Diceros bicornis minor: one gene and its partners. The protein of the gene in region 1 purifies or fractionates together with the protein of each later gene. This does not show direct contact. Links are inferred from orthologs where the notes say so. Each region holds a gene or a part of one and is shown in the gene's direction. Other genes may lie near its edges. The genes, in order: SDC2, AMPD2, PDPK1 and CAMKV.

What was found.
Region 2: the proteins of SDC2 (region 1) and AMPD2 purify together in Homo sapiens (co-immunoprecipitation; 3 studies listed by BioGRID and IntAct, counting the BioPlex papers as one, with this or other methods). This does not show direct contact. The link is inferred for Diceros bicornis minor from reciprocal best matches to the Homo sapiens genes SDC2 and AMPD2.
Region 3: the proteins of SDC2 (region 1) and PDPK1 purify together in Homo sapiens (affinity purification with mass spectrometry; 4 studies listed by BioGRID and IntAct, counting the BioPlex papers as one, with this or other methods). This does not show direct contact. The link is inferred for Diceros bicornis minor from reciprocal best matches to the Homo sapiens genes SDC2 and PDPK1.
Region 4: the proteins of SDC2 (region 1) and CAMKV purify together in Homo sapiens (affinity purification with mass spectrometry; 3 studies listed by BioGRID and IntAct, counting the BioPlex papers as one, with this or other methods). This does not show direct contact. The link is inferred for Diceros bicornis minor from reciprocal best matches to the Homo sapiens genes SDC2 and CAMKV.

What each region holds. Positions count from the first base shown.
Region 1 is NC_080760.1:15,623,789-15,631,358, forward strand, and holds the start of SDC2 (syndecan-2), read left to right. Parts: upstream 1-4,518; 5' UTR 4,519-4,936; coding exon 4,937-4,996; intron 4,997-7,570. UniProt on the Homo sapiens protein: Cell surface proteoglycan which regulates dendritic arbor morphogenesis.
Region 2 is NC_080743.1:42,649,629-42,656,720, forward strand, and holds the start of AMPD2 (AMP deaminase 2), read left to right. Parts: upstream 1-4,086; 5' UTR 4,087-4,294; coding exon of another isoform or gene 4,295-4,359; coding exon 4,360-4,450; intron 4,451-7,092. UniProt on the Homo sapiens protein: AMP deaminase plays a critical role in energy metabolism. Catalyzes the deamination of AMP to IMP and plays an important role in the purine nucleotide cycle.
Region 3 is NC_080765.1:45,881,435-45,888,765, reverse strand, and holds the start of PDPK1 (3-phosphoinositide-dependent protein kinase 1), read left to right. Parts: upstream 1-4,284; 5' UTR 4,285-4,338; coding exon of another isoform or gene 4,339-4,362; intron 4,363-5,092; 5' UTR 5,093-5,643; coding exon 5,644-5,679; intron 5,680-5,687; exon of another isoform or gene 5,688-6,403; intron 6,404-7,331. UniProt on the Homo sapiens protein: Serine/threonine kinase which acts as a master kinase, phosphorylating and activating a subgroup of the AGC family of protein kinases.
Region 4 is NC_080741.1:50,982,773-50,990,583, reverse strand, and holds the start of CAMKV (caM kinase-like vesicle-associated protein), read left to right. Parts: upstream 1-4,789; 5' UTR 4,790-4,926; intron 4,927-7,811. Other genes in the region: uncharacterized protein LOC131411027, read left to right, coding at 1-1,357. UniProt on the Homo sapiens protein: Does not appear to have detectable kinase activity.

The sequences.
Region 1 (7,570 bases):
AGAGCAGCCTTTTCTGTTTCAGCACACAAGGACCCCTCGCTAGTTTTGGATGACTCCCAGGCCAATGTACAATCGAGTTAGACTCTGAATTCCTTGATGTAAATGATCTACAGGGTGAATATGATTGGCTACTGGCCCACTAATAAATTGCCTCCCCCCACATCCATCCATAATTGTGAGCAAGGAGGTATGGGATCATTTAGTATACAGCATGTAGGGCTCCCCTTCTAGCATATAGTATGTGGGGTGCCATCCTAGAGAGGATGGAACTCTAATAACAGTGAATGAGGTAGGGCTGGCTGCCATTAAAGTAATAGTCTACAGAGTGTACTAACAAGAGTAGTACCATTTTACATAAAATCAGCCAAGATTAGATTTTCCTGTCCAACTGGATATATGCAAATGCAATGCAAATACTTCGAAGATACCTTTATGGAACCTTTCTAAATTCATATATCCAAGTATGGCTCTTAGGAAAATGTTCTTTGATGCCTAAGAATGATATAATTCTATAAACAATGTTTTCTTTAAAATTTCATATCTGATTTTAGGATGAAATTTGTCATGTACCCTGGTCATAGACTTTGTGATTTGAGGACAACTCAATTTTAAAACGTGTTAACTCTAACACCTTTCAAGAAAATTCATGTGCTTACCCAATGAGTACCTGGCACATGGCAAGTGATCCATATATGCTTATTGAATGAAAAAATGTCCAGTTTTACCAGTCTTTCAAGAACCATACCACTCTGTTAGGGAAACAGACAAGAGTGTTTTGCCTACTGTTTTATTCAGGGGATAATTTATGTATTATACAATTCTTTGACTTTCCTGCCTGTGTCCTGCTCCCCAAAATGTGACAATTTTGTTCAACATTAGCACCGAATCAAATCATGAAACTCAAATTAGCCAAATTCCCTGGCAAAGGGTTGACAGAGGCAAATGGAGAGAACAGTGGAAAGACTGAAGCTAAGAAGAGATTTTTTGAATTGCCTGTAGATTTCCGTCATGGCTTCAGCTCACTTGCCATTATTAGCATGGGTAATTAATAGTTGGCTGGCTGGATTTCCTCTTATTCTCCGGTTCTATCATCTTTCAAGTGAATTTAGTCAGGGCTGATCCTACCAAATGGATTTCTAGCCTAGACTCCTGATAACAGTCCAAGGAAGGGCGAGTGGAAGAACAACCGAGAACAACAAAGTGGCATCTTCCTCCCTTTGACGTTTCCCACTCTGACAGCTCACCTTGGGACACGGCACCTGCTTGTCCACAGTTATAATGTGATATCATTAGATGTCATAATGACAGAGTCCAATGTGTCAGCTTAGGTTAAAAAATATGTCGCTAGTAGCTTTCATTTCTATCATTTCATCTGGTTCCCTTTAATTCCTGTTTTTTACATTTCTGCAGCTCAGTCTCCATATTGTTCATTTTTTATATTTTCTCCTGAGGTTCTTGAGGTAGGGTGTTTATTCTTTTAGCAATCAGTGAAGCTATTTGGGAAGTGATTGGTTTTGCTATTTTATTTGCTGTGCCTCTCAAAGCGCAGCCCTTAAATGGAGGACATGACATCACATATGTATTAGGGAGTAGCCTTTAGCTCTAGTAGCATGCTATACTTAATATATTAGATATACTCCACAAAATTCTACTGAATTTTAGTCCTCAGATAAAAAAACAAAATCCCCATTAGCAACACACACAAATAGGCTGCTATAGACTGAATGTTTGTGTCTCCTCCAAAATACATATGTTGAAATCCTAATCTCCAAGGTGATGATGGGGCCTTTGAGAGGTGCTTAGGTCAGGAGAGCAGAGTCCTCATTTAGGGGACTAGTGCCCTTATAAAAGAGGCTCCAGAGACTTCCCTCACCCCTTCCACTACGTGAGGACACAGAGAAAAGACAGTCATCTATGAACTAGGAAGCCGGCTCTCACCGGACATCGAATCTGCTGGCACCTTCATCTTGGACTTCCCAGTGAGAAATAAATTTTTGTTGTTTGTAAGCCACTCAGTCTATTATATTTTTCTTACAGCAGCCCAAAGTGACTAAGACACAGACCTCCGTCATTTCCAAGTTTAGACATGTTCCTCACACCGGCAGACAGCCCCTGGCCCCTACCCTCACCCCCACTCAGCATAGGCAGCTTTTGTGTAGCTAGCTCTTGTGTAGGTGCTTTCACTATTAGTGCTTTTTATACCTTCAGACTATCCTTTTGGCTACACCTGTTAATGCATTTGATCGTAAGATCTTGAATATTTATTTGTTATCATATACCTGATATTGTGTGATTCTCAAAATGGTACCATTCCCTTGTCACATATACCCTCAATGCTGCACGACCGTTTATAAAAAACAAGTCACTGTGAGACTCATAACCGCCGAGAGCCTTGCGGTATGTCTTCAAGGGCACGGACAGATACAGTCCTTCAACACCTGCATCTGCTTATTCATTTTTATCACTGTTTGCCCCAGCCGAACCAGAGAGCAGCCACCATACTTCTTGTTAGGCAGATGCTCCAATAACAGCAATATCTGTGAGAGCCAGCGAATGGGTGCATTTTCCCCTTTTGCTGGAATTCTAATTTCTTTGATGGATTCTTAAGTGTTGGGGGAAAAAGGGCTGTGGCCTTGCCTGAAGGCTGGAGAGCAGACTAGAGGTCTCTTCTGAGGGTAGAGGTGACATTTTATGGCTCTTTGCATTTCTCTCACATTGCTCATTTTTTTGGAACCTCTTTTCATAAGTCTCCCCATCTCATGAAATTCTTCAACCCCCAGAGAATCCATCTTAAAAATACGGCCATAGTTCATTCTTCCAAAAACCAAGCTGGGCCCACATAGACCCACAGGCGCCAGCTCAGTTTCTGTGGAATGGGAAGCATCAGATGATACAACTTCCAGCCTCCTGATCTTTTTCTTCTTTTCTTCCTCCTCTGCTCTCTCTTCTATTTCCCCACATTGTCTTTTTGGCCGCCAGTGCCTTAGATTTGCCCAAAGAGAGCTTGTAGTTGGCACTCAAAAGCAAAGAGCTGGATGTCTCCGACTTTGAGTTGTAACTCTCCAGTTCTCTAAAATGTCTTTCTTTGAGATTTATTACAGTGAAAGGTTACTAAGACATTGTTATTCTCACTTAGAGTACTACTGTATTTTATTCTAATACTAAGTTAAAAATTACCATGGTGTACTATCTACATATCTACATCTATGTATCTTAAAGGCTCACAGCTCTTATGCAGTAGAGATTTGAGTTTTGGATCAAAATTTACTCAAGAACTATTGTGTGTCTTTACATATCAGGAATGAGAATACACAGTGGTGAACAAGACAGAAAGTTCCCTGGTCTCCTGCAGTAGGCATTCTAGGAGCAGAATGGCTCCGTAACTCATTTACTCCATAAGTCAGAGAGAAAAACAGTGTTAGAAACTGGAAGGGAATATGCATTTGTCATCAGCTGTAGTATACCACAGACACAGAATTGAAAAAAAAATTTCATAACAAAATATTTCAGATCAATTACTTCCATTCAGGAAATACATGCTCATTATTTTCTTCAAATTAGAAATCACTTTATTCCTCTTTTCTTTGAAGTTCTCTTAAATCTGTTATTATTCTGGGTCTCTATCCAATTTCTCACCAAATTGCCCTATTTGTAGCTTCCGAATGTTAACACCTCTATGCTGAAATGGAGCCTATAAAATGCCTTAGGGGCTTAAACTGTGTGTGAGGCAGAAATGGTATTTAAGCTCTTAATGAAACTATGAGCTTTGAAAGTGTTGTATTTTGGGTTTACGGGGTTTTCCTCCACTTCCCCTTTTCGGGAGGGTGGGAAATACTCTTAATACACGTTTATTACATTTATTGTCTTCTCTTTTAAAATACAGTTTTCATCAACTGGCGATTTATGAATACATTGCTTGAAGGCATCCGTAAACTTTGTGTGTTTTTCTCCAACTCTCAAAGCAGTTTCTTTCTACTGGTCTAATTCTCGCAGGCAAATATCCAGCTAATTATGTCTCTCGTTGCTTCAACGATCTTTCTCCAGAAAGTGAAAGTGAAGAGAAGAGAATAGAGAAGAAAAGAGCACGGAGGAGGAGAGAGGAAAAGTGGGGAGAGGAGGAAGGGAAAAACGGAGCGAGAAAAGGAAGGCGCCTGGAGCCCCGGAGCATTGATTGCGGACGAGCCGACCTAGAGCGGCCACAGCGCAGAGCCGCCGGCGCCCACTGGTCCCCGGAGCTGCCAATCGGGGCGTAATCCTGTAGGAATTTCTCCCAGGTTTGGCTGGGAGTCACACTGCCGCCTCCTCTCCCCCAGACGCCCGGAGGAGCTCGGAGAAGCAGGCTACGGAGGGAGGGAGGGAGCGGGAGGAGAAGAGGAAGAGGAGGAGGAGGAGGAGGAGGAGGACCCGGGGTGGGAGGCGGCCGCGCGAGAGGAGGAGGGGCGCAGCCGCTGAGCCACCAGCCCCGCTCGGACGCGCTTCCCTCCAGATACTCCGGGAGCTCCAGCCGCGCCGACTGCGCGCCCCCACCGCTCTGCCCCCAAACTTCATCTGCAGCTACATTCCAAGCCATCTAATTTATTCCTCAGAATCAGAAACTGAGCCGCGACACAGGGAAGGAGTCCGCGGAGGAGTAAAACACGAGCAAGAAGAGCTCCAGAGAGCAGCCGCCCGGGAGCGACACCTCAGCGTCGGGAGTGCAGAAACCAACAAGTGAGAAGGAGCCGCGTTCCGGGGCGCAGCCGCGGGCGGCGGGAGCAGGCGCAGGAGGAGCAAGCGAGCGCCCCGAGTCCGGAGCTCGAGCCCCCGAGCCCGAGCTGCGGTCGCTGCAGCTGGTGTGGTCCGGATTTGTCTGCGCGGCTGCGCCTGGCGCTGGGCAAGAGGCTTCGTTTCGCCCTGGTTGCAAGCGTCGGCTGGGAGCAGCCGGTCCCCGGGGAATATGCGGCGCGCTTGGATCCTGTTCACCTTGGGCTTGATGGCCTGCGTGTCGGCGGAGTCGGTGAGTGAGCCAGGCGGGGGACACGCGCGCCGTTTAGGGTGCTCGAGGCCGAGCGGAGTCTGCAGCGCCCTTGGGGAATCAGGGAGCGCCACCTGGGGGAGTCCACCTCCCCACCCCCAGACGCGGCGTTCGGCCCCCGGGATCTGCTGGGACAAACGCACTCGCTCTTCCACCCCTTTTCCCCTTCCCTTCCCGCAGAAAAGCGCCGCTCGCTGGAGTTGCCCCGAAGTCCCCGGGGATGAGGGCGCGAGAATCGCCGTTTTGTCTAACCGCAGAGGCCCCTGAAGTCACTCCCAACTTCTTCACCCTCGGAAGGGTCTTGTTGCCTGGCCCGGGAAGGACCGAGGGAAACGGTGGCCGGAGACGGGAGCCCGGGTAGGGCCTTCGAGGAAAGGGGTGCACCCTGCGCGCTCCCCAAGACCCAGGAGCAACCTGGAAACTTGGGGGTCCCTCCCTCCGCACACCATTCCCCCACGCCAGCTTATAATGGATTGAATGCAAGTGCTGGGGAGATGGGGCCCAGATTTAAGAAACCCGAGAGTGCCCGGAGAGGAAAGTTTGCAAAAGTTCTTTTGTTTGATGTTCCCCGTGGCTGGGGCGAGGTAGCAGACACTACGTGGAAACGCTACTCGCCGAGGCGCAGTCCGCGGTCCCGCGGGGGGTGCGCGGAACGCGACGGAAAATGCTGGGGCGCCGGCCGCTGGAATCCCAGCGCTACGGCGACCCCCTCCTCCTGGAGGCGCGGAGGGCGGCCGCGGGCCCTTAGGGGCAGGAGGACATTTTACTACGGATTGCTCTGGAGTGCAGCATGCGGGGCGAGGCGGGGTGCGTGTGACACTGCGCTTGGCCTCGGGTCGCCTGGCCGCTCGGGGACCGAGGCTTCCAGCCCGCCACCCTCGCCCTCGCGGGCCCAGGCGGGAGTGCATCCGAGGCCCGGAGGAGTCTCTTCTCCGGCGGCGGCCGGCTGCCGGCACCCAGCCTTCCTCCGCGGCCCGGGCTGTGGGAACTTGGTTTCTCCTCCTTTGGGTCCTGTTTGGAGCGTGTTTCCCTACATCGCCCAATGAGCGCCCTCTGAAGGGAACTGCCTCCTGGGCTTCTCCTTGTCGGTGGCGGCCCCTACCTGGGCACCCCGAGCTTTGTCCGGCTGGGTGGAAGCCCCTCACTGGTCAGCCCGCAGCCTCAGTGCCGTCTGGGGCCCCGGTTATGAAGGGCAGCTGTTTCTGTCCCTCCTCGTTCCCCATATCTCCTCCCTTGGCCGCCTGATAACGTCTCCATTTCTAAATAACTGAACTATCTCATTGAAGACACGTCATGTCACCTTAGAGGTGGTTTTGTGAAATTTTCCACCTCGCCTTTCTCCCTTCTCCCTTTATTTTTTGAGTTGATGCGATTTAGGATTGGGAAACCTCTTTGGCACTGAGCAGCAGATGGGTATTTTCATCAGTGTGGGAGCCTCTGTGTGCCGGCACATCCCCAAACGTTACCCGCGATTGGAGAGCACGCAGAATTGTAAACTGGACAGAGTAGATGAGTATTTGGGTGCTTAGGCTGTAAAACAGAACTCCGAGCCTTATCGGTATTTCTCCTCGGCAAATGATCATGTAATCCGTTGGGATTGGTAATCTCCCAGTCAGTTATGAACTTTGGCTCGTTGTACAAAAAAAGGGGGAGATGGTTCTGAAATAATGTTTCAGAAAAACATTATTGCTCATCTTGTTGTAAAGCAGGGCAAAGGGAGAACTCCATCTCAAGGTTTTGAAGAGAAGCCTGCCTAAAAAAGCTGTACAGGAGGTCCTTTTGCTGAGTCCTGTTCAGGGATTTGCTAAGAAATATTACTGTTTGGGGATGCTAGAGAAAGCGTATCTCTATCTTCTGCCTCTTTGGGTTTTTGTGGAAATCCGACAGCGCTCCTTAAGGCAGCTTTTTGGCTGAATTGTACCTGTCCTCCCCGTGACAACTTTCCTCTGAACTCAGTGTCTTGAGGGCTTTAATATTTCTCATTTCCAACCAAAATTGGCTGTTTCCCCCAGTGAGCTGCTTCACTGTGGTAGATACTGTTTTCAGTAATTGGAATATCATCCAAAAAGGTGATTAGATATTTTTAAAATGTCAACTTGGAGACTCGAGCAGAGTCTTTGTTAAGCAATGAGTCAGTCTTTCTCAATAGAAGCTGTTTCAAAGCCCAGGATGTCTAATAGTCCATTTAAGTTACTTTTCAGTCTCTGTTTCATGTATAGCAGCATAAATTTATGCAAAGTTGAAAGACTTAATTTTTCAACATTTAGCCATTATAGTACATTATTTCCAGTACTTCACATTTTAATTTGAAAACTGCAACTGTTTCCTGGGAGTCAGAAATAGTGATTGTCTGAGTTTAAAGCCTCTTTTTAAAAGGAAGAAAGGAAAAATGTCTCCAGTCAGTGAATTCTTGAGTTTTATACTAAGCTCCAGGAAAAAAAAAAGGTTCTCAGGAACTAAGGCTCAAAGCTATCTGTGAAAAGGAACCCGTGGCCCTTCCTTTATGGGCTCTAGAGAGCCGGGAAAGCCTGTTCGTGGTGATGCAGTCATACTTTC
Region 2 (7,092 bases), on another chromosome or scaffold:
GCTATAAACAATGCTGGGTGATTGGGATAGGGAGGCTGGCTGCTGGGACAAGCTGAGAAACGAGCTGAACAGCTTGGTTCTAGAAAGATCTAGGCAGGGGGTATGGTTCAGGAAATTGTCCTGGGCAAGGATCTTTTTGAGGCTGCAGTTGTTCTCTCTCAAATCCGCTATCTGCAGAGAGGGGTCTGGCGTAGGTGGGAGGCTGACGAGTGAGCTGCAGGCCAGAAGTGAAGAGAAGCAGTTATTCAGAGAATTAACGAGTGCATCGTCAGTGGCAGCCCGGGGTTCAGGAAGGGCCATTGAAGGAACTATCTGGTGAATAGGCTAGGAGAGGAGGAAGCTATGTTTAGAGCGAGGGAAGGTCCCAGGGGCTCAAAGACAATATTAAGGCCCCAACATGAAAAAAGCTGGAGGCCTTAGGGGATGACTCACTCCTTCATTTCCCAAACTCTGTTCTGCATAGACAAGGAAACCCCGCTGAGATTCTTGCTGGTGGTGTGTGGGTGGGGAGATGGATGCCTGGCTGTAATCAGGGCAGACTTCCCAGCAAGGACAGCAGTGTGCCAAATGGCCCGGAAATAGGGGAGAGTTACAGGGTGAAGCGTGTGTCACAGATGGAACGAGGAAGGAGCGTGAAAGGACTAGTGAACTGGTTTGCTTGGGTAGGGTCGAGGGCAGGATTGACACCTATGGGCTGGTTAAGTAGGTAGGTCTGGATTGAGGGGGAATCCTAAAGAGACCTGGCCCAATGCAAGATATCACCCCTTAAAACTATGTCAAAATTTGCATTTTATCAGAATATAGATGATGTTCTACATGGTTACCTGGTGCTTGGTTTTTAATTTTGAGATTTATTTTATTATTCATTGTTGAGAGCCCAATGGCCTCAAAATTACTAAGGGCCCCAAGACCAATTTAGTCTGAGGTTAAGACCCAGGACAGTCTGTTGAAGGTGGGGTGTGGGGGCACTTACAGATTTTTACAGACTTGTTGTTTTCTATTCCCTTGATTATAAAAGTAATGGATATGCATTGTAGATAATTTTTAAAATGAAGATAAGTATAAAAAAATAAATATAACCATAATTTCATCACTCACAGAAATCATTTGTAAACTTTTTGATGTGTTTTTTTCTATGCATGTGTGTCACATAATTAGGGCCATAATGTATGTACAGATTTTTGCATCCATTTTTTTCTCCTAACTTTACGCTGTAAACATTTCCACCTCATTAAGAAATTCTCCAAGAACAATTTTTTTTTTTCTTTTTTTTTTTTTGTGAGGAGATCAGCCCTGTGCTAACATCTGCCAATCCTCCTCCTTTTTTGCTGAGGAAGACTGGCGCTGGGCCAACATCCATGCCCATCTTCCTCCACTTTACACTGGACGCTGCCACAACATGGCCTGCCAAGCAGTGTGCCTGTGCGCCCCCGGGATCCCAACCGGCCAACCCCTGAGATCCGAACCTGCGAACCCCGGACCGCTTGCGCCACCAGGCCGGCCCCCTCCAAGAACAATTTTTAATGGCTATATTTCATTGTACGTATCTGACATAATTTAAACGTTCCCTTATTATTGGATCTTTACGTTTCCAGCCTTTCTATGTGATAAACATTGCAGTGATGGACAACTGTGCATATTTTTCTGGCAGCTCTTTTTAGAAGAACAATTTCCTGAAAGTGGAATTACTGGGTCAAATAATATGACCCTTTTTAAGACTCTTGATTATATATTATTAAACAGCTTTCAGAAAGATTATGTCAATGTTTATGCCCACCACTAGTATATGTGTGTGTCCCACCTCACTAACTACACCCTTGCCTGCATTAGGACTTTTTTCCCTTAATCTTTGCTATTTTAATGGGTAAACATGGTATCTCCACTTTTTAGTTTTTGATTCTTTGTGAGGTGAACTTTCCCCCCATGTTTATGGAGGCCATGTTTTTTTGAGTTTGTCCAGGGTGAGGAACAGCAGGCACGGATCAATGGAGGTGGCACCAGATGCAGGTAGAGAATAGGGTTCAGGGTCCAGAATCCAGCCTGGGGAGGAGTGGAGGAGGCAGAGTTTGGGAAGGAATTTGACTATGGGGGTGGTGAGAACAGGGAGGAGCTAGACAAACAGCATTAGTACAACTGGGTGTGTGGGGCAAAGGGCTCCCACAAGGTGGAGAGAAAAGAAAAAGACTAAATGTTGCTAATACACTTAATTATGTTTAGTGAAGTCTTAGGGACTTGCCCTCACAAGTTCTCTTTAGGTGGGATTCTCTGCCAGTTGGGAGTGGGGGTCTGGTTGGGTGAGTTGTCTGCAGTCCCCAAAGCAGCCAACTCCACTTCTTTACAGGCTGCAAGGTGAATCAACCTGTGAGCGTGTCAATAGGGGACCAAGGGCGAGGACATAGCAAGACCAGTACATGAGAACTGAGTAGTAAGTACAGGCCAGGCACTGTTCTAAGCCCTCAACTTATATTAGCGCATCTAAGTCTAACCACCACCACATAAAGCAGGGTCTCTTACACTCACGTTACAGACGAAATCGAAGCAGAGAAGTTAAGTAACTTTCCCAACGTTAGTCAGGAAGTGGGTGGAGGAGTCTGAATTGAACTGAATTCAGGAATAGAATACAGAGCCTAAGCTTTTAACCAACAAATACAGAAATAAATGTGGGAAGGGTTAGACAGAATTGCAGGACACACCCTGCCTATCTACGCCTGCCAGAAGAACACAGACGACGGAAAGTGAGAATGCTGGGGTGGACTTGGGCTAAAAGTGAATCCTGGGACAGTAATAATAGCTCTATCTTATTAGGCGCTGACTTGGTGCCAGGCACGGGGCAAAGGTGCTTAACGTTTAATCCTCACAATCGCGCCTCTGAGTGAGATACGCGATTACCCCATTCCATTTTACTGATGAAGAAGCTGACGTACAGAACTTGCCCAAGACTCGGCCCAGCGGACCGCGGAGGGGCGGCTGTCCCTGTGGCGCCGGGAAGAAGGGAAACGCGGGGGCGGGGCCGGCCGGCCAGGGCGGGGCCTCGGACTTGGAGGGGCCGGCGGCCGCAGAGACGCGCGGCGGCGGCGGCGAGGTCTGGATGGGCTCGCACCTGTTGCGTGACTGCCCCACAGTCCAGCTACGGGAGTCCGGCCCCGAATACCCGGAGAGCGTGGAGAGAAGCCCAGACGAGTTCCGGCTCCCGCTCTCTGCGGAGCACGTGGCCGGCCCGCCTCTCCAGTGCGGGGCTGGGGGTCGGGACTCCCGGATCTCCGAGACCAGGGCAACGGCCGAGGTCGGCGGGGGTCCGCCTCCCGCCAGCTGGCCCTTTTGAAAGACTGCCTTACTTTCCCCATCTCAGGGCCAGGGCAGGGGCCCCAGCCCTCCTCCCCTCCCTCGCGACCCCGGCTTCCCGGCTGTGCGGACCGTGGCGGACAGCCTCCCCGGTCCCCCTCGGGGCGCAGGCAGCATGGCCTCAGGTGAGTGTGTTCGCGTGCATTGCGGGAGTTGTCTCTGGAGCAGACAAGTACAGTGGCCAGGGTGACAAGAGGGAGGGGGTCTCGGCACAGCCAGCAGACCTAGGGAAGGCGGCCAGCTCTTCCTGGGGAGGCTCTGGGAGAGCACTGCCTGAGTGTGGAAAGACCGAGGGAAACGTCACAAGACGCTGAGGTCTCCTTCCCAAACCCCCGGAGAAGCCCTTGCCTCCTGGCCTCCCTGCCTTCCTAGAAGGTAGCTTCTGCCGGAGAGTGGAATTTTCCCAAGACAGGCTCCTCCCTACTGGGCTAGGATTCTCAGTTCTACCCCATCTTCCCAGATCTGGGCTACCCCAGGGACTGGGGATCAGATAGAGAAGGAAAAAAGAGGGCTCTGCCACAGAGGGGCTGGGTTTTTACGGAGTACGCCTGCCCTGAGAGGAGTGTGTTCTGTGCTTGGGGGAGCTCGTGCTGGATTTCTATTTTTTATTCTTTTTTTCTCCCGGCTGGCTGGACCAGCTAGCCTGGACTTTAACTCCTTTGCCCCGGAGCCCTGGTAAGGGGCGAGGGCACCCGAGGGGGTTAGTGGAGTGCCAGGGGCTAGCCCTTCCCCATCTTGTTTTCTCACGTCCACTCCCCTGGCCTAGCTTCCGTCAGTCACTCTCCAGGGACCGAGGAAGGGAGGGGAGCGATAAGGGGCGGATATGGAGGCCCCCCTCCTCCGAGTTGCCTAGACAACATCAGAAATCGTGGCCAGGGCCTCTTCCGCCTGCGGGGCCTCTGCTTCCTGCATCAGTCACTCCCGCTGGGGGCGGGGCGGAGGAAGGGGTTGGATGTGGCAGAGCCGGCCCCCGCTGGTGCGGCTCAGACTACCCCCGCCGTCTCCGCGGCCCGAGCCATGGCATCCTATCCATCTGGCCCCGGCAAATCCAAGGCCAAATATCCCTTTAAGAAGCGGGCCAGCCTGCAGGCCGCCGCTGCAGTACCAGGTGAGTGTGTGCGTCCTGGCCTCGGGCACTGGCTCTGTCCCACCACCTCTCGCCCAGGCCACTGGTCCCCCAGGGGCGCCCCTTCTCCTGCACGCTCTCTGCAGAGTTACCCCTCGTCCTCGGTCCCAGGGACAGCTGTCTTGGGAGGTGGTGCTGGGAGGGAGGTGGGGTGGAGGGTGACAGGTTTTTTTGTTGGGGATGCTGTCCTCTAACGAGTGGGTGTGGGTGCAGCAAGAGGTGTGTTTGCACACGTGTCAGCGTGTGGATGTGCTAAGACTGTTTGCATGTGGAGTGTGTGTGAATGGAGTGGGGGATGTGTGGGACTGACTGGTTTGCGGACTGGCCAAATTGCTGGCGGCTGTGCCTTTCCCAGGCAGACTCAGGCTGTCTTCCTGCAGCTAGTTCCTCTTTCTAGGACCCCAGATCTCGAAGCCACTCACTGGGGCTGCCAGTGGTGGGGGGTTGGGGGAGTCTGATGTTAGGGCACACTCATGGCTGCTGGCATCCCAGGGCTGGGGGCTCAACTGTATCTATCGTTTGCTGATTGCTCCTTCCTGATCTGTCTTGTGAGCTTCCTGGGAAGTGTGGGGTGTCCTTGGGCTGGGCTTGAGCTGGGGCTCAGGCTGGGGCCGCTGCCCGCCTGCGTGTGCTCCTGCACCCTTTGGTTCGGCTCCCACTCTGGTAGGCATCTCTGCACCATTTGGAGCAGGCGGCGTGGTGCGGCTGTGCCATCTCCCTGAGGTCTCGGCTGCCTGGGTCTGTGCTTGTCGAGGGATATCTGCCTGCCCTCTGCTGCCCCCAGGCCTTGTGGCTAAGGAAAGACCACCCATGCTTTGGTGACCAGGTCAAGCCAGTCTCCCCCTGCCAGCAGCTGTCTGTATCTATAGCCTGATCATCCACCTCCTGTATTTTCTTATGCCATTGAAGGTGCTGGCCTGAGGTCTGTGCTGTCCTGAGGGTCTGTGTTCCTGTGCCCAGGTCTGTGCCATCCAGGGGGTGTGTCCCCTGGGGCTAGATCTGTACACCTTTGGGTGGTCACATGGTGGGAGCATCTGATACATGTATGTCAAAGCGTTGGGCACCTCTCTGCCTACTGAGGCAGTCCTGGCAGTGAGTGAGGGGGCTCCTGGTCAAGAGGCTAGATGGGGTGGCAAGAATCTTGGAGTTGGTGGGAGTGGCTGGGGAGTAGCCCTCTCTGGCTTTTGGTCGACTCCTCCTGGGTGAATGTGTGTGTGTGGTGCTGTGGCACAGACCCTGGGAGAAGGGACCAGCAGGCAGCCTGGCCTCAGGGAGTGTGGAGGTTACTGCTTGTCTGTCACCTCCAGTGAACCCTGGCAGTCCAGTGCAGCAGGCTGGGGGCATGGCTCTGGCTGCTGGAACCTGTCCTGGTCACCCTAGCATTTCTGTGGAGGCTGTCGGGGAAGACGGAGAATCCCCCTCCGCCCTTTCCCTTAAGGTTCTTATAGCTGGCCAAATAATTAAAAGACAGATTAGCAGAAGAAAATAATACCAAGTTTAATAACATGTATACATGGGAGAAACCAGGGAAACTGAGTTTCTCAACAAAATGGCAGAGATTCTCATCTTAAATACTATCTTCAGCTAAAGACAAAGGAGGTTATTGGGGGTAGTGGTTTGGAATTTCAGAGGGGAAGAAGACAATTCACATGGAGAGGGAAATATAAATGTTTGTCAGACAGTTCTTTACAGGGCCACCTATAGAGAATGTGGCTGGAGAGACAGAAATCACAATAATCAAGAGTATGTAGATTTAAGTCCTCTCCTTCCGTACTGATAAGAGTGTCCACAGATAAGGCCATCCCCCCCTCTTCCTAATACAGAAAGGGAGATACCTTTACAAATGGAGAGTTCCCTTATAAATGTAAATGTTTGTCTGGCAACTCTTTGCAGGGCTACCTAGAGAATGTGGCCTGGGAGAGACAGAATTTTTGATAAGATGGGCTTGTTAGTGTCTTTCCTATTGTAACATCTATTTTACATTATATTACAGCCATCATATGATAGTAAGTCCTTCCTGAAACAGGCCTTCTATGTTAAATTATTTAGGCAATTTGAGGGAGGTCAAATGTCCGTCAGAGAAAATAATCAAGGTAAAGAGATATGTTTCAGGGTAGCCAATTTTTGATCTCCCTCAAGGCCCTGGGCCACCCTGCTAGGAGAGGGGGTTGAGATTAGGGCCTATGGCTTGCTTGCACTGACCCGATACAGACCAGCCCTGGGGGTCTGTGGTTGGCCTTCGCTGGAGGGGGTTAGAAGTGGGGAGGAGTTGTGTAGGATCAGGGTTCTTGGGTAAGCAAGGACCTTAGGCTCTGTCTTACCCCTTTGGGGTGGAGCAGGTGCCCATCCTTCCTTCTTCTTCCTGCTCTGCCCTCTTCCAAGTAAGAGATAGCATTCCCCCATCTCCATCCCTGCCAAGTTCTGTTCTCTGCCCTTCATTGTTCAGTTGCCTTGGCTGTGCTGGGCCTGAGAACCTCCCACCCTCCCTGATAGGTGGGACTACACGTGGGAAGTGTTTGGAGAGTCCTGAAAGTTTCATAATCGCAGATTGTGGTATTCTACAGGACACTTGTGGAGCCATATCTCTGTGGCAGCTGTGGCTACGCAGGGCACGACCTGCTTAT
Region 3 (7,331 bases), on another chromosome or scaffold:
ACTAAAAGTCCAGGAAAATTACCTTTTATTTTATTTTTTATTGAGGTGATAATAGTTTATAACATTATGCAATTTCACATGTACATTATCATTTGTCAGTCACTATATACATGTGCCCCTTTACCCCTTATGCCCCCCCCCCCCCCCCCCCGTCAACACCCTTCCCCTCTGGTAACCACTAATCTGTTCTCTTTGTCCGTGTGTTAGTTTATCTTCCACATATGAGTGAAATCATGCAGTGTTTGTCTTTCTCTGGCTTATTTCGCTTAACGTAATACTCTCAAGGTCCATTCATGTTGTTGTGAATGGGACGATTTTGTCTTTTTTTATGGCTGGGTAGTATTCCATTGTATATATACACACCACATCTTCTTTATCCAAACATCAGTCAATGAGCACTTGGGTTGCTTCCACATCTTGGCTATTGTGAATAATGCTGCAATGAACATAAGGGTGCATAAGTCTATTTGAATTGTTAATTTCAAGTTCTTTGGATAAATACCCAGTAGTGGGATATCTGGGTTGTGTGATATTTCTATTAATTTTTTGAGAAGTCTCTGTTTTCCATAGTGGCTGTACCAGTTTGCATTCCCACGAGCAGTGTATGAGGGTTCCCTTTTCTCCACATCCTCTCCAACATTTGTTATTTTTTGTCTTGGTGATTATAGCCATTCTAACGGCTGTAAGGTGATATCAATGTAGTTTTGATTTGCATTTCCCTGATAATTAGTGATGTTGAACATCTTTTCATGTGCCTGTTGGCCATCTGATATCTTCTTTGGAAAAATGTCTGTTCATATCCTCTGCTAATTTTTTGATTGGGTTGTTTGTTTTTTTGTTGTTGAGTTGTGTGAGTTCTTTATATATTTTGGAGATTAACGCCTTGTCCGATATATGATTTGTGAATATTTTCTTCCAGTTGGTGGGTTGTCTTTTCATTTTGTTCCTGGTTTCCTTTGCCTTGCAGAAGCTCTTTAGTCTGATGAAATCCCACTTGTTTATTTTTTCTTTTGTTTCCCTTGCCTGGGTAGATATGGTATTCGAAAAGATCCTTCTAAGACTGATGTCATGGTGTGTGCTGCCTATATTTTCTTCTAGGAGTTTTATGGTTTCAGGTCTTACCTTCAAGTCTTTGATCCATTTTGAGTTAATTTTCGTGTATGGTGAAAGATAATGGTCTACTCTCATTCTTTTGCATGTGGCTGTCCAGTTTTCCCAACACCTCTGTCAGCTTCTTGATTCAGTTTTTTTTCATGTGATGAAATCCATTAGAGAATCTATCATTTTCAGTATTTTTCTGGAGCCCTCTGAAGCCTGCTCCGGGTAGTCTGTGTGCTCCTTGTTCTTATCCTGGCATTTCTCCTCGTTATCCGGGCACTTCTGAGTCCCCACTTACCTGATTTCCTTTCTCCCCCCCAGCACTTATTACCTTCTAACATCCCGTAATGTTTGCTTATTTATTATGCTTGCCGTCTCCGCCTCACCCCCCCGCCAGAGTTCCACAAGAGCAGAGATTTGTGTTTTTTTCACGATGAATTGCTGATGTCTAGCACGGCGCTTCGCATGGAGGGGGCCTCAATGTATATTTGTCAAATGGACAAATCTGGGGACTTGCCTTCATCACCCTCTGTGTATTCTGTTTCTTCCTGTTTGCTGGATCTCATGTCTTCATCTTTCTTGGTTTTCTTCCTCATGTGGTGGAGCACATCCTTCAGTAACTTTCTGAGAAAGGGTGCTTGTGAGATATATATTTTTAGACTCTATAGCTATGTATATATTTACAGTTGTATTTAGTGTACAGTCTGGCAAATTTCTTCACATGTAAAATGGTAATAAATATTGGGTATCTCATAAGGTTGTGATGAGAATTAAGTAAGATAAATCATATAGACTGGCTAGCATTCTCTGAGGACAAGTTATTATTACTTTTTGAAGACTAAGTATAAAATAAAGGTTGTTAAGAGGTAGTTGAGTGCAGTGGCCAAGAACAAGGCATTGGTGTTGGTCAGGGCTAGTTTTGAGTCCTGTGCTCTGTGACCTAGTAACTCTATGACGGAGAGTAGGCAAGTCCCTGAAGCCTCAGTTTCCTCATGTGAAAAATGGAAATGGTCATGGTACCTACTGTTCATGGGGCTCTTGTGCAGTGAAATCAGATCTACTGCTCTCAATGCGTAGTAGGGGTTATCGATGTAGGATAATGTTCCCAATGTTCCTGAATGTTGGAGGTGGCTTGGTATGGTAGCCAGAGCTGGTATCTACCTTGATTTTTGTGTCTTGCAAGGGTGAGAGTGTCTGGAGAGGGCAGGCAGTTGGCAATTTGTAGCGTGTATCAGAAGTCCTGAGAAGGATACCTGAACTTTGACCCAGGAATTCCATCTGCTAAGAATTTATCCTAAGGTTTGGCAATAGATGTCAGCTCAGGGCCAGTCTTAGCAAAAAGAGGAGGATTGGCATGGATGTTAGCTCAGGGCTGATCTTCATCACACGCACACATACATACACAAAGAATTTATCCTAAGGAAATAAGTAAGGGTGTGCCTGGATTTAAGTGCAGGGCCTTGTTCCTGAGGAAAAAGTCTGGGAACCACTTCAGCGTCAGTTAGGAGGGAGCTTGAACAATACGTGGATCTATAAACTATAGGCGTCCTCCAGTGGAGTTCTCTGCAGCCCTCACAACGGAGGAAGGTGGCAGTCAGATATCAGGAGAGCTGTACAGGATGCAGGACCATACGTTGTTAAGTGAAAAACGGGGTATCAGAACAGCATGAGCTCTTCTGGGGGATATGGGTTACACGGGGCTTTTTATTGTTTTTTAAGGTAAGTAAGTGTACAGAGGGCTGGAAGCCTGGACGAACTGTCCAGGCTGTGTAGTCTAATGGTCAAAGCACAGTGTCTGGCATGTGGGTGTCAGGATCCTGGTTCTGGCACTAGAAGACCTAGGACAAGTTACAGAACTGTGCTGTGCCTCAGCTTCCTCATCTGAAAAGTGGGGCAACAATAGGAGAGATGCTTGTTTAGAGTGAGATTAGTCATGCAAGTTCCTTGCTGAGAGTAAGCACTGAGTGAATGTTAGTGGCCTCACTGCTATTGGATGGCTAATACTGGCCAGTGGGATTATGGATTCATTTATCTTATTGTTACTTCTCTATATTGCCTAAATTATTTTTTAAAATAATTTCTTTTGGAAATAGAAAAAACATTTAAACATATGCAAACCTTCAGGTAACAAAGATTCTAATTTTGTTTAAAACAACATCATCATAGCACAACAACGTGAATGTACTTAATGCCATTGAACTGTACACTAAAATGGTTAAGGTGTATATTTTACCACAATTTAAAAAACCAACAATAACATCATCAACCACAACTACCAAGAAATTCAACATCATTATCATCATCATCAACAACTACAAAAAAAAATTTATGGGCAAAGAAGAGGGTTCTGAAAGTGTCCCTGGGACTGTTAGCAGTGATGAGATGGGATTGTTTTCTGCCGTATGAATATGAGTTTAGGGGCCTGCCAGGTGGCGCACGCGGTTAAGTGCGCGCGCTCCGCTTCGGCAGCCTGGAGTTAGCCGGTTCGGATCCCCGGCGCGCACCGACGCGCTGCTTGTAGAGCCATGCTGTGGCGACGTCCCATGTAATAGTAGAGGAGGATGGGCACAGATGTTAGCTCAGGGCCAATCTTCCTCAGAAAAAAGAGGAGGATTGGCATCAGATGTTAGCTCAGTGCTGATTTTCCTCACATACACAAAAAATGACTTTAGAGCCTACATTTTCTTCCGTGAGCACGTCTTAGTTTTGTAACTGGTAAAGTTGCGTGTCTCGTGTTTACACAGAGCCCCGCTCTGGAATCCGAGCCACCAGTTAGAGCCCAGCCCCGCCGCTGCCTCTGGCGTGACCTCGGCCGGCCCGGCCCCTGCCAGCCTCAGTTTCCCGGCGCGGGAGCCGGGATGACAGCTCGCCCCTCCCCCGCCCGGCCCCGCCCCACTGCCCCAGGATTGGCTCGTGCGGCCCCCCCCAAAGGCGGGGCCCGGCCGCTCCCGCCTGCCAGGCTCCAACCCGGAAATGCGGCTCGGAGGCGCCTGCGGGCCCTCCCCGGGCCACGGCGGAGCGACGGCGGGCGCGGCCAATGGACGGGGATGGCGACGGCAGTTCGGCGGAAGTCCCGCCTGGCGTCGCGCGGGGGCGGGACGGCGCCGGGGGCGGCGGGCGGCGGGGCGGGCGCAGGATGAGGGCGGCCATTGCTGGGGCTCCGGCGCGGGGAGGAGGACGCTGAGGAGGCGCCGAGCCGTGTAGCGTCGCGGGGGAGGCGCCCGCGCCGACGCGGGGCCCATGGCCAGGACCACCAGCCAGCTGGTGAGTGCGCGGCAGCTGCTCGGGCGCGGCGGCTGCCGGGGGCCCGGCGAGGCGGGGCGGCCCGGGGTCCCCAGGGCCGGGCGGCGCCTCACCTGCGGCCGGGCGGCGGGCCGGGGAGCGCGGGCGCCGTGGGGGCGCCGCTCGGCCGCCGCGGGGAGCCCGGGTGCCGGTGCGGCGGCGCCGGCCCGACGGGGGCGCTGACAGAGCGTGGAGGGCGGGGGAGCGGGGAGGTGTCACTGGCCGTCGCGGTGGAAGTGCTCGGAAAGTTTGTTTTCGGTGTGGTCTGAAGCCGAGCCTCCGGTTCCCTGTGGTTCCGTCCGTGGAGAACCGCCGGGGCCTTCACCGGGAACGGGTCTGCGTGCCTTTGCTGCAGCAGAGCGGGAGCCGCGAGTTCTCGCCCAAGCACCTGATGCTCCGGGCCCCCGAGTTCGCGGCTGGGATGGAGTCTGATACGCTCCCTTCGCGGTTCCTGCGCGGCGGTATTTGCGTACTTCTCTTGCCGGGAGGCCCCGCTCAGGCACGGGCATCAGTGTGGTGGGACGCCCCTGGGAGGCCGGGCTCGAGCCGACCACCGAGGGGCGGGTGAGGTTGACAGCGAGGAGGGGTTTTAAGGGGGAAGGAAAAGGTACTCGTTGGGGTAAAGGTCTTGCTAAGAGCATCGCTAGTGTTTATATGTTTTCTGTTTGTGCTAAAAGTATTCGTAGTGTTTTAATATTTTTCCTCTGTTAAGTTTCAGGGTCGTGGGAAGATGGTTTAGGGAATTATACGTTGTATGCGAGTGTGAAGTAGGTGATGGAAGAATGCCTAGACACTTGCAAAATTTGCTTCAAAAGGCAAATCCCTTAAATGAAGGAAGACCCAAGGAATTTACTTGATCCCTATTTTCCAGCATATGGTTCTGTGGTAGTTCTTAATCTTTGTGAGAGGGTTATGAGCCCGTTTGAGAATCGGATGGAAGGTATGAGTCCTCTCCTGAGAAAAACGCACGATCACACCGAATTTTGTAATTACTTCAGGAGGCTCTTGAACTTTCTGCAGCTGGTCCATGGACTTCAGGTTAAGAACTCTGCTTTGTAGAGTTGGGTGATAATCCGAAGTATAAGAGAAGGAGGACCTGTTCAGTTGAGAAAAATGGTGAAAGGCGAAAGGGATGTCTTTGACTGTTGCAACATGTGTGACTGTATCCTGGGGTGCCTGGACTAACACACAAAAACACAAATTAGGCTGCATGGTGAACCTGAGTGGAGGCTGGGGCTGACAGTAATCGTGCAGGTTTGTAGAATGAACTTTCATACAGTAATGCTGTTGCAAGGCGAGGTGTGTACTTTGACGGTGTCCATGGGAAGAGGAAAAGAGCACATTTTCTCATAGTCTTGGTCGTTCCCCATAACGGATGTTTGATGTCTGGAGTTTTCTTTGCAGAAAGCAGCTTTTTAGTGCAAAAACACTGGAATCCGGTGAGAAAAGATCAGTTAGAGAATAAAGGATAGATCTCTTCTTCAGGAAGTGAGAGGAACTAGCTTTTGTGACTTCATCAGCTAGATTCCCTCACGTGTACAGATGTGAGAATATGCCATATTTCCCATCAATAGCCACAGAGATGCCCCCAATATTGGAATTTTCACCTAAGGACAGATAGATTTGCTTGGTTCAAGGGAATTTGCATCGAGGTTTTTAAGGTGACGCTATATGAGAAGCTGTGTCCCAATTAATTTTCCCATTTCTTTAAGTGTGTATAGCCAACGGGGGGAGCAGTATGAGTTGTGAAGTCTGAAAAGGGCCTAGCCCAGTTTGTTACTAAGGGGGGCCGGGGGCTGTGAGTACCATTTATTGAGCACTTACTTTAAGACAGGCATTTTGTTAGAGAGCTCACATGGTGTTGCTTGACTTCTGTCAACGGTGTTGTGAGGTATGTGTCGCTCCCATTTACAGGTGTGGAAACTGAGGTGCGGAGAGGTTAAGTACCTGCTTGGTAAATAGAGTGGAGTTTGAACCCATTTCTGATCGATGGCAGAGGTCCCGGTGCCACCCTGCCCCTCATGTGAGTAGTGCCCTGAGGGAGGGTCCCCTGGGCAGCTCAGCGCAGCACTGGGACTAAGGTAGTCCTTGGTGCTGCTGCCTAGGACGTCTTCCTGAGGATTTTGCCTGAATGTCCTGACTGTGCTATGCTGGAGGTAGGAGGGACATCTTCACGTGGAAGGACAGCACGCTTATTTATTTCTTTGGGCAGATGGCTGAACTCTGTGACCCCTGGAGCCTATTTCAGCCTCACGCTGTCAGAAAGCAGCTGTTTGGAAAGAGGCTCCTGTTCATCCTTCTTTGAGGGCTGCTGTTCTGAATGGGTGAGGCTTGAAATCCTCCCTTTGGAAAAAAGAACTGTGCAACAATTTTGTTAAAGGTAAAATTGGCAGCTAGGCAGAGTGGCTCCCTGCACACTCTAGGGCGGCTCTGTCTTTTGTAAGGATGGCTGCATCCGTGCGGGAAGGTGGTGGGGAAAGCAGAGGGAAGGTGGTGGGGAAAGCAGAGAACATGGAAAGAAGTGAGTTCTGATTTTCACACTCCCTTTTGGGTAACTCCTCTTCATGTGGTCTTGTGCAGCATGGTGTATTTCTCTCCCCACAACGCCCTTGTGGCAGTTACTGAGCTGAGTCCAGAGCTGACAAGGTGTGCTCCCTGTACTAGTAAGGAGTGGAAGTGTAGGTTTGTTCTACTCCTCTGACATGTGTTTTGTAAGGATCACAGCAGCAGGCTACAGAAACATGGGGCATGAAAAGAGGCCTTGGGGGGCCGGCCCCGTGGCTTAGTGGTTAAGTGCGCGCACTCCGCTACTGGCGGCCCTGGTTTGGATCCTGGGCACACACTGACGCACTGCTTGTCGGGCCATGCTGAGGCAGCATCGCACATACAGCAACTAAGAAAGATGTGCAGCTATGACATACAACTATCTGCTGGGGCTATGGGGAGAAAAA
Region 4 (7,811 bases), on another chromosome or scaffold:
CTCCAGCACGCATCAGCTCTCATCCTGGCAACCTGGCAGCTCCCCCAGGGCCCAGGAGGAGCAGCTTTCCCCGATCACATTCACCACAACTGGCACTGGCTGCAAGGTCTTGCCCATGGCCATGGTGGGCACTGAGCCCCAAGGTCCCCAGTTCAAGCTGACAGCTGAGGACGTTACACAGTCGTCAGTGGTCGCACACCTTGGCCTGTTACACGGGGCCTGCTATGAGCTGGTGTCCACCACAGATGCTCTGCCAGTACGGTCCCCAGTGCTCTGCCGCCACTCATTGGGCCCCTACCAGGACATGGCGGCCGTGGTGATCGACACAGGCACAGGCTTCACCAAATGTGGACTGGCTGGAGAGGACCACATCCTCAGTGTGGTGCCCTCACGTGTCCAGCTGCTGCAGCACCCAGTCCAGGGTCAGCCCAGGTATGCAGTGCCCAAGAACCGAGAGGGCTCCTACTCGGTGCTTAATCGAGGAGTGGTCTCCGACTGGGATGCACTAGAGGTGCTATGGCAGCACCTGTTCCATTGCAGGCTAGGCGTACAGCCTGAGGAGCTGGCTGTGCTTGTGGCTGACTCACCCATCTCACCACGCACCAACCGAGAAAAGGTGGCTGAAATACTCTTCGAGCGTTTCCATGTGCCAGCCATGCAGACAGTGCATCAGGCCCTGCTGGCGCTCTATGCTTATGGGCGCACCACTGGGCTGGTCCTGGGCAGTGGCCATGGCACCTCCTACGTGGCGCCCATCCTCACTGGGGATCTGGCCCCACTTGACACCTACCGGCTTGATGTGGCCGGTGCTGACCTCACTGAATACCTAGCTCAGCTATTGCTGGCAGGTGGCCACTCACCGCCCAAGGCAGTGCTGGTCAACCAGATTAAAGAGGCCTGCTGCTACGTGGCCATGGATATGACAGCTGAGATGGCCCGCACTCAGGCCCAGGCCCGGGTGGAATTCGTGCTTCCAGACAAGCAGGTCATCTCGCTGGGCTCTGAGCGCTTCTGCTGCCCTGAGGCCCTCTTCCAGCCGGATCTGCTAGGCCTCAACCAGCAGGGCCTCCCACAACTAGCCCTCCAAAGCATCAGCCGGCTGGAGGCCAAGCAGCAGGAGCAGCTGCTGGCCAATGTGGTGCTGGACGGTGGCAGCACCCTGGTAAGTGGCTTTCCTGAGCGCCTGAGACAGGAGCTGGGCCCCTGTGCCACTGTGCTGGGCTCTCCCCACCGTGCTGTTGCCGCTTGGCTGGGAGGCTCCATCATGGCGTCCCGGGACTCCTTCCAGAGCCTGTGGCTCAGCCGCCGTGAGTACGAGGAGGAGGGCCCATGGGCCATCTACAAATACCATCTGTGAACACATAAAAGTTCTGGTTCTGCTTACTTTGAACACTGTGGCATGTTTTAGGCATAGGGTAGTGCGGGGAAGGGCAGAGGTCCAGGTATGGGGTCAGGGATGGGGACCTTGGCACTCCCAAGGCAAACCCTGCCTCTGCACACTACAACTCCATGGGCCCTGGCAATCCTATCCTTTCCAGAGAGCCCCAAGCCCCTTGGCTGGCATTGGCTCTGGTCTAGCCTGACCTTTACTGCAACTCAAGGGCGAACACAGAGAGTGGCTGCTGTGGGTTTTGCCCCGTTGCCCTGGTGACAAGTGCAATTACCCTTGATTGCCAGCTGGTTGCCATGGCAATTTCAAACATAATGTAATAACCCACATAGCCTGGAGTGAGTCATGAAGGGGGAACAGCCCCCTCCTCTAGCTCCAGAGGAGAAGATTGCTTGCCCTCCTCCATCTTGGTCCCTCTACAGGGGGCTAAGGCCAGCAACATGGACAACAGCCAAAAAATTCCAAAGATGGCTGGGGGCCTGCAGCATTTGTTGCCCCCAAAGGAGGGTCCCTGTCAGTCTGGACTTCTTGGGGGAGCTGGCCTAGTAATGCAGGTACCTCCTAAAGTCAACTTTGGCTGGAGCTCTCTGCTGGGTTGGCAGGGGCTTCCGTTGGCCAGTCAGAATAGGAAGGTATGAGAGTGCTGGCCTTTGGTGCCCTGGGGCAGGAAGTTGGGGTAGGGGGGCAAATAAGTCCTAGATCCTGGATGGGAGGTACAACTTGAGCTGGGGGATGATGCCCTGGCCTGCTTTGTAGGCTCTGTGGATACAGAAGCTCACAACTTATCCTGCCTCTCTGACTGTCTAGTTCTGGAGAGAGTCAGAACTGTCAACTTTGGGCTCCCTTCTCTTCCTCAGCCTCTCAAGTCAGGCAGCCCCTGCCCACAGGGTGGCCAGGGTACAGCCCTCCTCAGAAGATCCTCATGGAGGCTACCAGGCAATGTCAATGCCAACTGCCCCTGTCTTGTTCCAAACTCTTCCATGCGCTAAAGGGCCTCCTGCTCTCCCTCTGGCCAGGAAGGTGGCTAGAAGCCATGGCCTCTGACCTTGTTTGGCTCTGAATAGTGGGGGTAGAAATTAAGCTCCGTGTCAGCCCAGTCCATGGTGTGGAAGAGCTAAGAGGATGGCATTCAGCTGGTGTTGCTACTTTCTGCCCAGTGGGCAGCTGGAGACTGAAGCCAAGACAGTAAAGCCCTACCCTGCCTGTGCCTCTCTGGTTGGGGGCTGAAGGACAAGCCATAACCCCGTCCCAACCCTGGGTCCTCGTCTTTAGGTTACCCTCTCCACAAAGGGCAAAGACCTGCCCACCCCCACACATGCCTGAAAGTGAGGGGCTCCCCTAGGTGGACAGACTAAAACAGCCAACGATGTAGGGTCATCACAGCCCCTTTCCAGCCCTGGGCATGGTTCAATCTCTTCCCATGTCCTGCTCTCACACTGCAATTCAGCCTCCATAATCCTGAGGCCTGTGTCAGGCGAGAAGGAGACCGGTGGCTCCAGGGACCAATGGCTCCAGGGACTAGCTACAGTGTCTATGCGCATGTGTGAGCGAGCATGCTTGGGTACACACAGAATGCAGACACACATGCCCCTGGGCACCACAATACACACTGTGCTGTTGTCATCTCCTTCAGCATAACAGCGCACACACACATAGACACATTCACACGTGTGAACACACAACTCTGCCACGTGCTCTCACCCACAGGCACACGGAGTGTGCACAGGACCAAGAAGAGGTAGAGCATTGCCAGCAGCAGGCAGGGCTCTAGTGAGCCGCCTCTTCCCTTGCCTCTAAATCCCCCATTTCAGCTTCTCCTTGGCCCAGCTGCTCCACGCCTGGATAGCCATGACCTTTAGGAAAGACAGAAAACGTGTGTGACATGTGTGGGGTCAGCAAGCCATGGCTCAGCTGGACCATACAACTCAGAGAACCATTGTTTCAAGGACAGTGGACAGACAGCAGAAACGACTGAGTGCCAGACCATTCATTCATTCTGCAGACATGAACTGAGCATACTGAGATGAGACACAGGCTCTGCCCTGCAGATGCCCAGCTTACCAGGAGATTCCTACCCAGTGGTAGAGTTGGTGCCATGACTGAGACCACCCAGAGTCCAGGGAACCTAGAGTTGGCACCAGTCTGGACTGGAAGAGGTGATTCAAAGCCAGGGGAGGATGTAAATGGCTCCTTGACACCCCCTCTGGAGGAAGATATTGAGGGGCCTTGTTTGAGCAGTCATTTCCCAGGATAGCCTTCCAGCCCCAGCGCCAACTTCCTCACTTGGGCAGTCAGTTCTGTCAGTAACCATGGGGAGCCACGCAGGGGAGACTCACTCAATGTGGCCAAGGGTTTGGAGATGACTCTACACAGGATGGGGTCAGAAGGCTCACTGGGAGGGTTTGGTGGGGCGGAGTCCAGCTCCTCGCACCAAGAAGCTTAAGTCTGGCCTTCAGATACTGGCCTTAGGGCTTGTGACAAGGGCAGAGCAAGCATTGAGCCCATATGCCTCCCTGACAGGGGACAGAGCAATGGCCAAGGACTTCCTTCAGAGCTTCTTCCTGGCAGTTCTCAGCCCCCTCCAGTGAGGGACCAGGTCTGGTAGGCCACCTTGGTGCTGCAGTTCTCCTGTATCCCCATATCCCAGGCCAGGCCACCGATGGTGATGCTGCTCTTGAAGTGTTTGAAGGTGATTAAACCGGGAAGAAAGCAGAGTCCACACCATGTCATAGGTGACTTTTACAGTTTGGGAAATTCAGTGCCACACAGGAGGAGGTAGACTCTGCTAGCTGCCTGGCTGGCACCTAGGGATGGGAAAGGCTTTGGCCTGCAGGAGTGGAGGGTGGAGTGGGTTTTGAAGACTCTGCCACCATGGTCTGGGGCCCTCACTGACCACTTGCACATGCACACACACAACCACGTGTTTACTTACTCCTAGCTAAGGGATGCCAGTCTAGTGCCGCTTGCCCTAGTGACTGCCCACGTGGTTCTTTTAAGTAGCTTCTGCCCTTTGGGTCAGGTTTTGGGAGCTGGGCAGAGAGCTGGTCCCGCGGGGACTACTACTTGCCAAGAGACTGCTCTTTAGCTCCAGGACTCAGGCTTTCCCCACACCTCCTACTCCCCACCCCCTACAATGGCCATAGGAAGGCCCCTCCGGCCCCTGTTGCCCGGTCAGTCTGAGGGCGTAAGGGAGCCTTTGAGTGCCTGGCCGGGCCGATCAGGCCAGTGCTCACCGACACACCTTCCACCTCTCCTCCGCCCACCTTCGAGCGGGATTCCAGCCCCAGGCTCCACCAGGGGCGGGGCGGGGCCGGCTGAGGGAGGCCCCGCCCCCAGCCCGCCCCCGGCCCGGGGTGCGAATCCGGTGCCGATGAGCGGCGGGAGATGCTGGAGGTTCGCGAGCCGAAGCGGCTGCAGCTGGCGCCGCGTCTGCCCCGCGTGCCCGGAGTGGATTCTGCCCGCCGCCCCCGGAGCCCTCGGCGCCCCACTGAACCCGCGATCGATCGCTTCCTCCCTGTTACCGACCGGCGCTGCAGGTGCGGGGCGGGCCGGGCCGGGGGCGGGTGCCCCTTGAAGGCACGTTTTGGGGGTCTTGGGGGGATTGGGTCTCTGGCTCAAGGTTCGGGTCGCCGAGTGCCGCGAGGGCTCGGGGTCTCGGCGGGGGCCGAGCACGCGTGCTATGTAGATCCGGGGGTCGGCGGGCGGGGTTGGGCTAAAGTTCCTCGTCACCCCGGACCACTCGGTGGTCCCAGAGAAAGCCTCTGAGACTCAAGTCCAGGCGAATCTCCCCTCCCTGCCCGCCCCCCCCCCTCGCTTTCTCGCTGGGCTCCTAATTGTGAAAATATTAACCCTCGAACATTCGTGGTACCCCATGGGGGTAGGGGCTGAGAGCTGAGCCGTCCCTCCTGACTCCCAGAGCCGCCTCCAGCCCCTCCCAACTGCCCCCGGGCCCCCTCCCTCCCTCTTGGCAGTCACTAATTTCCATGACAACGGAGAGTTCTTTATGGGCGACAACCTGAAGGGGGCTGGGCGGGGCTGCCGCGGGGTGGGGGAGGAGGCTCCAAGCCCCTGGGGACCAGCGGCCCCCTAGCCAAGATCCAGCTTCCAAGCCGTAATGTGGGGGCCAGCTGGGGGTCCAGGGCACCGACCCAACGCTGCGCGATGTGGGTGGGGGACCCACATGTTTCTGCTGGGAGGTGCGGGGCTTGGTGCTCACACGTGTGCCTCCCGCATGTGTGTTGCTGTGCCAGCGGGGGCGAGTCAGCAGCACTGGAGAAGGGGGTCAGGGTGGCACCACGGTGGGGAGCAAAGCCCTTGGCTGGGGGTGGTGGACAATGAACAGAGTTTCTGCCCTCCCCAGCCTGCAGTGTCTACCAGAGACCCTGGGTTCTCCGAGCCCCCCATAGCTCCGCCAAACTGCTTTTGTCTGCACCCCTTAGGCAAAGCATACTCCACCAGATTCCCTCCTAGGGAGCAGGGCTCTCTGTCCCTCACCAAGAGCTCAGTCTGCAGCAGTCCCGCCTGGCACCCTCCTCCAAAGCCTAGGCTTTGAGCTCCGTAGGACCACCTGTGGAGAGCCCCCCACTCCCACCCCCAGTTGATTCCTGTCAGCTTTAGCCACTTGCTGGGCCCCAGTTTTCTCAACTGGGAAATGAGTGTCTCCACTCCTCTCAGTGTCAGCCTGGGCCCTGGGGTGGAGCAGAGGTCTCTCACCCTTTCTTTTACAGCATTTGGTGTGGACTCCCCAGGTGCCATAGGCTGCCGTTCCCCTATCTGCTGCTGGCCCTCCTCTCCAGCCTGTGCCCTGGCCACCACTGTCTAGCAGTCCTTGCCCTGGCCGGGAGAAGGCTACAGAGTCCATGATCTCTGTCCAGGGAAACTGAGGCATGGGGGCCAGGTGCTGTGCAGTTGTTATCCTGTTTCTGGGTTGCTTGGGTGCTGTTTCTGGTCCTCCTAACAGGGTCCATTGTTGGGGAGGAGAATGGCAGTGGCAGGGAATGAGGCTGAGCTGCAAGAAGGGCCCTGGGGACCCAAGGCCTAGAGAGGACAGCAGATGGGGGGGTGGGGGGTGTGCACGTGCCTGGGGAGTCTAGGTAGGGCTGGGCCAGCTGAGAGGAGGGGCTGTAAAGGGAAGCGAGGTCTCCAAACTTCATTTCCACAGCACCCCCCCCTCCGCCCCGTGCTTATGCCTGCGACATGTTGGACCTGCATTACCTAAGCTGCCGTGATGACAGGGAGAGGGGCTGAGGAACTGTTCTGGCTGAGGGGACTGCAACAGCGGCCTCTTCCCCAAGGCTACGGCTGTGCCTCTCACACCAAGTCCAGTGCATGTCTGGGGGATACAGGAGGGTTCAGTCTCAGAGGTCCAGGCACCAGGGACAGCTCCTGGCCCAGGTGTTCAGAACACATGGCCATGGAGAGCTTAGGGCTCTGCTGCACACCCTTAGGCCCCTTCAGAACCCCCTGCCCTTCTCCTTCTGTGTCTTTATGCCTGTGTCCCTTTTACTCTGTTGCCTCTTTGCTCCTCTTTCATCGCAGCTTCTGCCTTTGTCTTCCTGTGTCCCTGGCCCTCTCTCTCTTTTCTAAAATCTCTGGGTTTCCCCACCTCTCCTTTCTTGATGGGGACCAGGGTCACAGAACCCATGGGGAAGGAGCCGGGCCAAAGTCTCAGGGAATTCTTGGAGAAGGGATTTGGTCAATGCCTGCCGCCTGCCCCCCCCCCCCCCCCCCCCCCCCGCTGCCCCGTCCCCCTGCCGTTTTAAAAACTTCCATCACCATAGCAACTCTTTACTCTGGGGCCTTCCCCTGCATTTCCTCTCCTACACCCACAGGGAATCAGGGCCCCCAGTGGATTTTCCTTCAGGGGTTCAAAGATTGGGACCCCAGGTGCCTGGAAGTGGCCAGTTGGCTCTTGGCTCTGCCTGAATGCTGAGGCCTGAATGCTGAACTTGCTGGAGGTAGCACTCTACTGTGTGCCCACCCCCAAGACTGGAGAGGCCCTCCTCTTCATGCTCCCTCATTAGATAGGAGAGAGTCCCCGCAGCAGGAACGATGGACTGTGATGTAACCAGAGCCTGAGGCCCAGCCAGGGTAACCCCCTGCCCAGTTCCCTGAAGCAGTTGGATGGTGGGCTAGAAGCTTGGTTCTGCTTCCTGACACTAGACCCTGAGAGTGAGGTCTCTATTTCTCCCAGTCCTGTAGGTGAGGCCTCAGCTATGGGCCAGGCAGGGCTTGGGCCTATGTATGTCTGTTGCAGTGGGAAACCCAGCCCCATTCTCGGAGAGAAGAGAGGATGGAAGGGGAGGGGGTGCCTGCAGCCTGGTGTTCATAGCTGCCACTAAATCGGGAGGTGTTGCCCACAGTTGTTGGGAGATAGCTGGAGGCCTCCTGGGCCCCTCGTGACCTCCCTAGATTTACTGCA